Linked DNA regions of Saccharomyces cerevisiae S288C. Changing the gene in region 2 together with the main gene of any one other region gives a genetic interaction. Each region holds a gene or a part of one and is shown on either strand. Other genes may lie near its edges.

The links.
Region 1: mutations in PDR1 (region 2) and RRD1 together harm fitness more than expected from each alone (negative genetic interaction), as found in Saccharomyces cerevisiae (2 studies listed by BioGRID).

Annotation. Positions count from the first base shown.
Region 1 is NC_001141.2:53,600-57,243, forward strand, and holds RRD1 (peptidylprolyl isomerase RRD1), read left to right. Parts: upstream 1-1,598; coding exon 1,599-2,780; downstream 2,781-3,644. Other genes in the region: GUT2 (glycerol-3-phosphate dehydrogenase), read right to left, coding at 1-109; IMP21 (Imp21p), read right to left, coding at 382-1,422; VPR1 (Vpr1p), read left to right, coding at 2,946-3,644. UniProt on the Saccharomyces cerevisiae protein: PPIases accelerate the folding of proteins. It catalyzes the cis-trans isomerization of proline imidic peptide bonds in oligopeptides.
Region 2 is NC_001139.9:468,149-473,872, forward strand, and holds PDR1 (drug-responsive transcription factor PDR1), read right to left. Parts: upstream 4,151-5,724; coding exon 944-4,150; downstream 1-943. Other genes in the region: PUF4 (Puf4p), read left to right, coding at 1-659; ERG4 (delta(24(24(1)))-sterol reductase), read left to right, coding at 4,707-5,724. UniProt on the Saccharomyces cerevisiae protein: Positive regulator of proteins involved in permeability. PDR1 and PDR3 jointly control the transcription level of both SNQ2 and PDR5.

The DNA of each region.
Region 1 (3,644 bases), on a different chromosome or scaffold from region 2:
TGTGCACTAACGGCCTATCACCTTGGCTAGTCATCCAGTACAGCGTCCCCGTGGCTGTGGCCATGGCAGCAGCTGCACCGGCAGCTCTTCTTCTCGTTACCGAAAACATATATTAGTACGTATTTAGTCTTGTAGCAGTGATGGCAATAGCACGGTCAAGATAAGGGAGGGAGAGTCCTTGCTTTAGACCAAAGTTCCCTATTTGTGGCTGTTCTCTTTTAAGTTTAAATACGATTTTTAGCGTGCGGGGTTGTGAAATTTCCCCTGCCAAAACTGAAATAAAGTTGGGTGGATAACGTATCGGAGCAGAGAAAAGACATAAGGTCTGTTGCTGTATATAAGTATGTGTTGCTAAAAAGGAATTAGTGCAGTGATTATTGGTCACTCGCTGATGCCCTTGCGCTTGGCACGTTTCAGCTTCTTTCTAACCGCGAGGATGGGCACAGAGCAGACGAAGTTCTGCAGAGTGGACAGGATGACCGAGAGGGAGCAGCACAGGGCGACTGGCTTGAGGCCGTGGATCATCTCGTTGAGGAGGTGTTTTGGGTACGGATGGGTCAAGGAGAGGACGACGACGTCGAGGTCGTCGAGCACGCCCGCGACGCAGTCAAACAGGTGCATGACGTGCTTTCTGATTCTGGCAACGTTGGCGAACATCTGGGAGTCGTCCGTGGGCTTCGAGGGCTCCCAGTGGACAATGTAGACGGTGTCTCCCTGGTTGACAGCTGCGCCCATGAGATAGGTCAGGGCGTAGGTGGACTCGCTGCTCAGGTCCGTGTAGAGGATGAAGGACCTTTGGTTCCCGGCCTCTGCGCCGGCACCCTTGGTGAGTAGTTGCATGGCTCTGACGTAGCCTCCGTCGAGTTGCTCCAGAGACACGTCTTCGTTTTCGTGGCCACGGATGCTGATCTCGTACTTGGCTATCCAGGGCTTGCTGGAGTCTAGCACTTCGTTTATGCTGGTACAAAAGTTGGGTAACACTTTCATGCCCAGATCGTAGTGGAACTCCTCGTCAATCTCTAAATCGTTCTCTATATCGCTCACTTGCTCTTCATCGGACTCTTCCTCGTCCATATCGTCGCCGTCGCCGTCGTCGTCATCTTCGTCGTTGCCCTCACCTTCCTCTTCAGAATCCACATCCACGACCCTCAACCGCATCGAGGGGTCCTGCCTCAACACGGTCCACTTGAGGAACTCTTCCTCCCTTACTCTGCTGCGGCTACTGGCCCTGCTTCTCGACCGCGACAGACTGCTCACGTTTGAGTCTCGTTCGCCTCTTTTCTTCTTGCTACGACCTCTTTCCCTGTGGCCCCTTTCCATCTGCTCCGAGTCGAACTCCACCGTGGTGGGCGTTTCCGTTTTGATGCTGTGTAGATTCGATTGTGTTCCGTCAGGTTTAGTCAGCAATATGCTCTTCTGCATTGCGTACTTGGTTGTTTCTCTTGTTGGTTCTTTTGGTACTCACCCTTTCCATAGTCTCTTGTGTTTGATCAAGCCTTTTTTCCGGACCTTTAAAGCTTTCTTAAAAAGATAAAATAGGAAGAAAGTGCAAAGTGCAAAAGAACGCACATATGAACAAGCATTAAACGAGCAAAGAAATGTCTCTGGATCGTGTAGATTGGCCGCACGCCACCTTCTCTACGCCGGTGAAGCGTATCTTCGATACGCAGACAACGCTGGACTTCCAATCGTCACTAGCCATTCACAGAATCAAGTATCATCTTCACAAGTACACTACGTTGATATCGCACTGTTCTGACCCCGACCCGCACGCTACTGCGTCGTCGATCGCCATGGTTAACGGGCTGATGGGAGTGTTGGACAAGCTGGCACACCTGATCGACGAGACACCGCCTCTTCCAGGTCCTAGAAGGTATGGTAACCTAGCATGCCGCGAGTGGCATCACAAGCTGGATGAACGTTTGCCTCAGTGGCTGCAGGAAATGCTTCCCTCGGAATACCATGAGGTGGTGCCTGAATTGCAGTATTACCTGGGCAACAGCTTTGGTTCGTCGACAAGATTGGACTACGGCACGGGCCACGAACTTTCGTTCATGGCCACGGTCGCAGCACTGGACATGCTGGGGATGTTTCCGCACATGAGGGGGGCAGACGTTTTTCTGCTGTTCAACAAGTACTACACGATCATGAGGAGGCTGATCCTGACGTATACGCTGGAGCCCGCTGGGTCACATGGCGTGTGGGGGCTTGATGACCATTTCCACTTGGTGTACATCTTGGGCTCGTCTCAATGGCAGCTGCTTGATGCGCAAGCACCCTTGCAACCAAGAGAAATACTGGATAAGTCTCTGGTGCGCGAGTATAAGGACACCAACTTCTACTGCCAAGGCATAAACTTTATTAATGAGGTGAAAATGGGGCCCTTTGAAGAGCATTCCCCCATCCTATACGATATTGCCGTCACCGTTCCACGCTGGTCCAAAGTGTGTAAGGGGCTTCTAAAAATGTATTCTGTAGAGGTTCTGAAGAAGTTCCCCGTGGTGCAACATTTCTGGTTCGGCACAGGCTTCTTTCCCTGGGTCAACATTCAAAACGGCACTGATCTTCCAGTCTTTGAAGAAAAGGAGGAAGAGAGTATAGAACAGGCTAACGCAGGATCGCCCGGTCGAGAACAGACTTCAACACGATTCCCAACGTCCACGTCAATGCCTCCCCCAGGCGTTCCGCCGTCAGGTAACAATATCAACTATTTACTAAGCCATCAAAACCAGTCGCACCGGAACCAGACTTCTTTTTCAAGAGATAGACTACGTAGATAATATTAATTAAACATATAAATGTGTATGACAAGCATTATGACTTCTATTTTCGTTCTTTTTTACTTGCGTCTACAATATATAAGCATATAATCAGATGAAAAAAGGAAAAGGAAGCGGTAATACAAATAAACAAAGAAGTGGAAAAAGTCGCCACAGTGTAAGCAAATGAGTCACAAGAGAAGGGGCCTGGTAATATATCAGGATCAGAAGCAGCAACAACAACACCCCCCGGGGCAGTCCCTAAGCTCTATATCCTGGTCTCCAACCAGGCGACCTCATCACCCTTTAAAACAACAAAGCACCAACAGTTTCTCAGAAATACTATCGAAATCAAGTGTGCAACCGAACGTGCAACATGACGGTAATCATATGCCCATTTCATTGCTAGTTCTGAAACAAGAACATCATAAGCAGCAGCAGCAGCAGCAGCAGCGCCAGAATATCCGATCACAAAACTCTACGCCTCCCCTGCGACAGTTGGTTCAGGAGTCGCAGTGGACGAGCTCCGCAAGTAATAGTTCTCTAAAGAAACAGGAAAAGCAGCCGCAAACATTCTACAACACTGACTCTAAACTTGTTTCTCAACTGCATAGCTCCGTGAAGGACCTGGATGCCATAATCCAGACGCATAAACCAAAGTTTGACACAATTATTCGCGATTTCTCTCAAGCAACCATACTGTCCTCAAACGAGTTACTCATCAAACTTCCGAAGGACCAAACAATAATATTGCATAGCAGAGCGCCAAAAATTAACGCAGAATGGCTACAGAACAAGGTTAATGACCCTAGTGCCTCGTTAGTGATCGATTCAAGATCTTTTCTAACCTTGTGTAACAATATAAAATGGTACCTGCATTGGAAA
Region 2 (5,724 bases):
TTGATTCTTTACGCCCTTATACTGTCCAGTTGAGTAAGGATTTAAATGGTAATCATGTTATTCAAAAATGTTTGCAAAGGTTGAAGCCTGAAAACTTCCAGTTTATCTTTGACGCAATCTCTGATAGCTGTATTGATATTGCTACTCATAGACACGGGTGTTGCGTTTTGCAACGTTGTCTAGATCATGGGACTACAGAACAATGTGACAATCTGTGTGATAAGTTGCTAGCCCTTGTTGATAAATTAACTTTGGATCCATTTGGCAACTATGTGGTGCAATATATAATTACCAAAGAGGCTGAGAAGAACAAATATGATTATACGCATAAAATTGTCCACCTGTTGAAACCAAGAGCCATCGAACTTTCTATCCATAAATTTGGATCAAATGTGATTGAAAAAATCTTGAAGACAGCTATTGTTTCGGAGCCAATGATTCTGGAAATTTTAAATAATGGTGGCGAGACGGGTATTCAATCATTGTTGAATGATAGCTACGGAAATTACGTTTTACAGACAGCATTAGACATTTCTCATAAGCAAAATGACTATCTCTATAAAAGACTATCAGAGATTGTGGCGCCTTTACTGGTGGGCCCCATAAGAAATACACCTCATGGTAAAAGAATCATCGGAATGTTACATTTAGATTCATAGTTGATACATATATCCTCAGTTTAGCTTTTTTTACGTTAGCCTCATATAATATCTTTTGTACAATACTAAAATACATCATTTTTTTTTTCGTTGAGGATCAAATGAATATCCAAAGCAAAAAAAATAGGAATTTTCACTTTATGGTATACTGGTAAATAGTGTTGAAGAAATAAGAGAAGGAGATGCCCTAGAAAACAGAATGTTCTTATTTAAATAAGTAAACTCAAAAGAAAAAAAAAAGGAAGGAAGTTTTTGAGAACTTTTATCTATACAAACGTATACGTTTAACTATCTGGATAAACGTCGCTCCACAGGATACTGTAGAGGTCCTCAAGATCACCGTTATTAACAAATTCATCTAGTGTCCCCAAATTAAAACTAGTTGCAGAAAAATTGTTACTGTTGTTGTTGTTAATATTGTTAATATTGTTTTTATTGTTGTTGTTGTTGTTGTTGTTGTTATTGATTTCATTTGTGTTCATAAATGGTACTTGTACTGAAGTGGGTATTTGCTGCTGAGCATTGATTGGTTTATTAGATTGGACTTGCGTATTATTTTGCCCATTTGTTGGTTGCGCGTAATCGGGATTGATCATATCAGACACGGATAATGACCTAAATGAAGGCAATTGTGCAAACTCCGGTAGTGAGTTGTTTCTCACTGGGGAAGGTGCTGAGCGACCATTGAATGGCAATTGAGGCGATTCAATGCCATTTAGTAAGCATGAAGTGCCCGTCTTAAGACTTGGGAGATCCGGATTCAAATTTTTTCCCGAATTATGCTTCATCTGCTTATTATCTTCATTTGACATTAGTGGTTCCTGAAACTTTCTATTTTTCAACATTTGTGAGACCGTTAAATGGAATCCTGACTTCTGAACAGGTTCTAATAAAAATCGATAAGCGCAAGAGTTTGTATCCAAGACAAGTTCTATTATACCTTTTAAATCTGGCGCATTCTCATCAATATATTTGGAGATAACATCGAGGTTGGTGCTAGAGGACTCTCCGTATGCCAAAAGCATGATACGAGTGACGATTGTCAGGAAAGAAAAAGCTCTTGTATAGTCTTTAAAGCTTTGGCTGTTGAAGACATGCTCATTGGTCTCATTTTCGGAAAAAATTTTTATATCCAAAAATCTTTTGAAGACTCTAATCATATTCACAACGTCATTTACTTTAATGAATTCGGCCACTGAGAATGCTTGTGATACCAAAATAATGCAACTGATAGAATAATGGGCGAACGAACGGTATACGGAATAATCGTTGTCAAAGTCTAATAAGATTTTGTTCATATCGGTCCATGATTTGTAAATCTTGTGAAGGTATATTTTCAAGTTTTCAATTAGTATTGAGGGCCTTCTGTGCACGCATAATCTGGCGACAATATTATCAGATTCGTTAACCATTCTGCAGAAATGGTGCTCGTAAAATAGAACAAATTTTGAAGCCATAATCTTATCCTCTCTTGAAACTTTGAGTTCAGTACTATCTTTAGAGAATGCAATATCGAACAATTTTCCAGTTTGCTCTTTGATAGCATCATATTTCATTTCTGTTTCGTTAAAAATCTCGAGTACCTCGAAGAGTAGTTTCTCTCTAACAACAGATGGTTTTGATGTATTCCTAATTGACGTGAATTTTTCATTGAATAAAACAGATGATGAGAAATGGCTGACTATTTGTAAGACAGCTAATTCGCCATAGTATTTTAAGTCGGATATGCACATGTTGTCAAAAGCTTCGCTCCTGCGAACTAAGTGGACGTTCTCGATAAAATCTCTATTATCCAAGAACCCAACATCTCGAAAATTCTTAGGTAATAAACAATTGATTTTGGAGTCATCAATGTTCGAAGGATAGCCAAGTTTAGAGGCTAAAGTTTTCTCGAAATAGAAAGCTTTCCACCAGAGATTTCTTCTTCTTTCAGCAAAGTTTTCATCAAGACCCACGTAAAATTCCCACCTTGATAAACCAACTCTTGAAACAAAATGAACTGCTACGTTCAAGACTTTTTCAAAACCGTATATTTCCGATAGCCAAAATAGCAGATCCAAAAAGTATAGAAGTTGCTCTAAATGCGTTATGTCGCATGTGAAGTCCACGTAGTTGTATAATGTAGAATTATAATAGCTGTAACATAAGGCGATTAGCGCCTCTCCAGCTTGACAATAATGGATGAATTCCTGCAAGACATCAATTGACTGCGTGTTTTTAGCCACGGAGGGGTTAGATGTGATTTCCATTAGGAAGTTCTGGTAGGAATTTTTATGCATATCCAACATCTTCAATAAAATGCCAAACATGCTGATATCATTATTCATTTCGCTTAGTAGCTCAGAATTACTTATTCCGGTTATATTTCTCACAAAGGGCTGCGGTAAGTGATTTATCACTAACGCAACATGCGATTTTGTGTGTGCTGTATTCGGGCTCCCTGCAGATGATATCGAAGATGGGGTTGAAGGTAAAAGATTCATTTTCTGTAGGTAGTTTTCCAGGGGATTAGCTATGGAGACACAGCCTTGGTTGATGTGATGAAAACAAACGTCGAAAAACCTTAACATGATGTATATGGTTTCCTTGGCGGTCCTGGGAAAAATCTCGCATTTGGATTTGGATCTATAATTTTGGAAACATTTACCAATACCTTGAAGTGACAAAAATTGGAAAGGAGAGTACAAACCAAAGATTTCGTCGATCAAAGGTTGACTAGAAGTATCTTGGTCCTTCTTATTGTTTGACCAAGCGGCATATCTTGTCAAATGTACCACATCACAGTATTTGTTTTTCATCAATTGAGTTTCTATTGATTTATTAGGGTAAAATTTCGTTGTTGCTAATTCTTTGGTCCTCACTTTGGGTTCCCATCGCTTAAGCAAGTCACTTATCTGAAGTTCAATGCTCTCGATGGCTGAGGTTACATGTGTACCTAAATGAGCCATCTCCTTCAAATTTTTCAGAGTGGTTTGTAGAGATGTCAAAGTTGCCTGTGATTCGCTATCGTCTTCATAAAAACCGTTTCTATTCACATCGTCGTCATTCTTCCCATCACTTCCGCTATTATCACCACTACTACGACCACCTAGCTTGAAATTCTCAAAAAATTTCGTTGGTTGTTCCACTGCGCATGGCCCGTCTGTACATCGCTGAGGATTAGAAAAAGAAGTCGAACTGGAATCTGTTTCCTCTTTGACTTGTACGGTTGTACCTTCCAAACTCGTCTTGTGAAGGTTTTTTATTCGAGCGCCACCTTGTCTAGTGCTGAACGTGCACTCACATGAATATATCTCACAGCTTGCGCAGGGAAACTTCCCATTACATTTTATCTTTCTTTTTCTACAGTTATCGCACGCTTTACTTACTTTCGACCTTGGCTTACGAATCTTGCCGCTGAAACCTGTAGAAAAGTTGCTGGAGTCCGCGGACGATTCTGTATCCGGACCCGTCTCAATATGTACACCGTTCTTAGGTGTCAAGCCTCGCATCTTCCAGTTTCTTGGATTCTTTTCTGTATATTCTTGGCTGAGATGAATAGTTAGCAAGTGATGTGCAAATTGTCTTTTTTTAGCCAAAACTCACTCCTGGTAATGTCTATATGGCCGCTATGGTCCTGCTATCATGCTATTGTTGACAATGAAAGAGTGGCTGATCATGTGTAATAGGCGAATAAGGTTGTTTTGAAGAGCTTTAATTAGCGCCTCTTATTGCCACTCATTAGGTCTTGAACAAGAAAAGAAACTCCATTTAGGGTATGCGTCTGTTTCCAACAAAGCCCTATTGGACCCTGAGAATGTAAATCAGGGCTCGTTTCTTCTCGTTTAATAACTAAACGAGACTCATTTCTTTTTCGTTCCTTGGCGCTATTTTCGTGCATCCCGTAATTGCCGGTATTACGCGATCGTTTGGCGTTACTATGGAAAAGCAGAATTATATATCCTCGAGGAAAAATTACCAAACAGTGGTAATAACGTAGGAATGTAGTTCAGTTATGTAGATAGGCAGATACGGATATTTACGTAGTGTACATAGATTAGCATCGCTATGGCAAAGGATAATAGTGAGAAGCTGCAGGTGCAGGGAGAGGAGAAAAAGTCCAAGCAACCGGTTAATTTCCTGCCTCAGGGTAAATGGCTGAAGCCAAATGAAATCGAATATGAGTTTGGTGGGACTACTGGTGTTATTGGTATGCTGATCGGGTTTCCACTGCTAATGTACTATATGTGGATTTGTGCGGAATTTTATCACGGTAAGGTTGCCCTACCCAAGGCTGGTGAATCGTGGATGCACTTTATCAAGCACCTATACCAGTTAGTCTTGGAGAACGGTATCCCAGAAAAGTATGACTGGACTATTTTCTTAACATTTTGGGTGTTTCAGATCATTTTCTACTATACGTTGCCCGGGATTTGGACAAAAGGTCAACCATTGTCTCATTTGAAGGGAAAACAATTGCCTTACTTTTGTAATGCCATGTGGACCTTGTATGTAACTACCACTTTGGTCTTGGTTTTGCACTTTACCAATCTTTTTAGATTGTATGTCATTATTGACCGTTTTGGGAGGATCATGACATGTGCCATTATTTCAGGGTTTGCCTTCTCCATCATATTGTACTTATGGACTTTATTTATCTCACATGACTATCATAGAATGACAGGAAACCATCTATATGATTTCTTCATGGGAGCTCCACTAAACCCTAGGTGGGGGATTTTGGACTTGAAGATGTTTTTCGAGGTTAGATTACCTTGGTTCACCCTTTACTTTATCACTTTGGGTGCCTGTTTGAAGCAGTGGGAGACTTACGGCTATGTGACACCACAATTGGGGGTTGTCATGTTAGCTCATTGGTTGTACGCGAACGCATGTGCTAAAGGTGAAGAATTGATTGTTCCAACCTGGGACATGGCTTACGAAAAGTTTGGATTTATGCTGATCTTCTGGAATATTGCCGGTGTCCCATACACTTACTGTCATTGTACGTTGTATTTGTACTACCATGACCCATCTGAATATCACTGGTCTACACTGTACAATGTTTCGCTGTACGTTGTTCTAT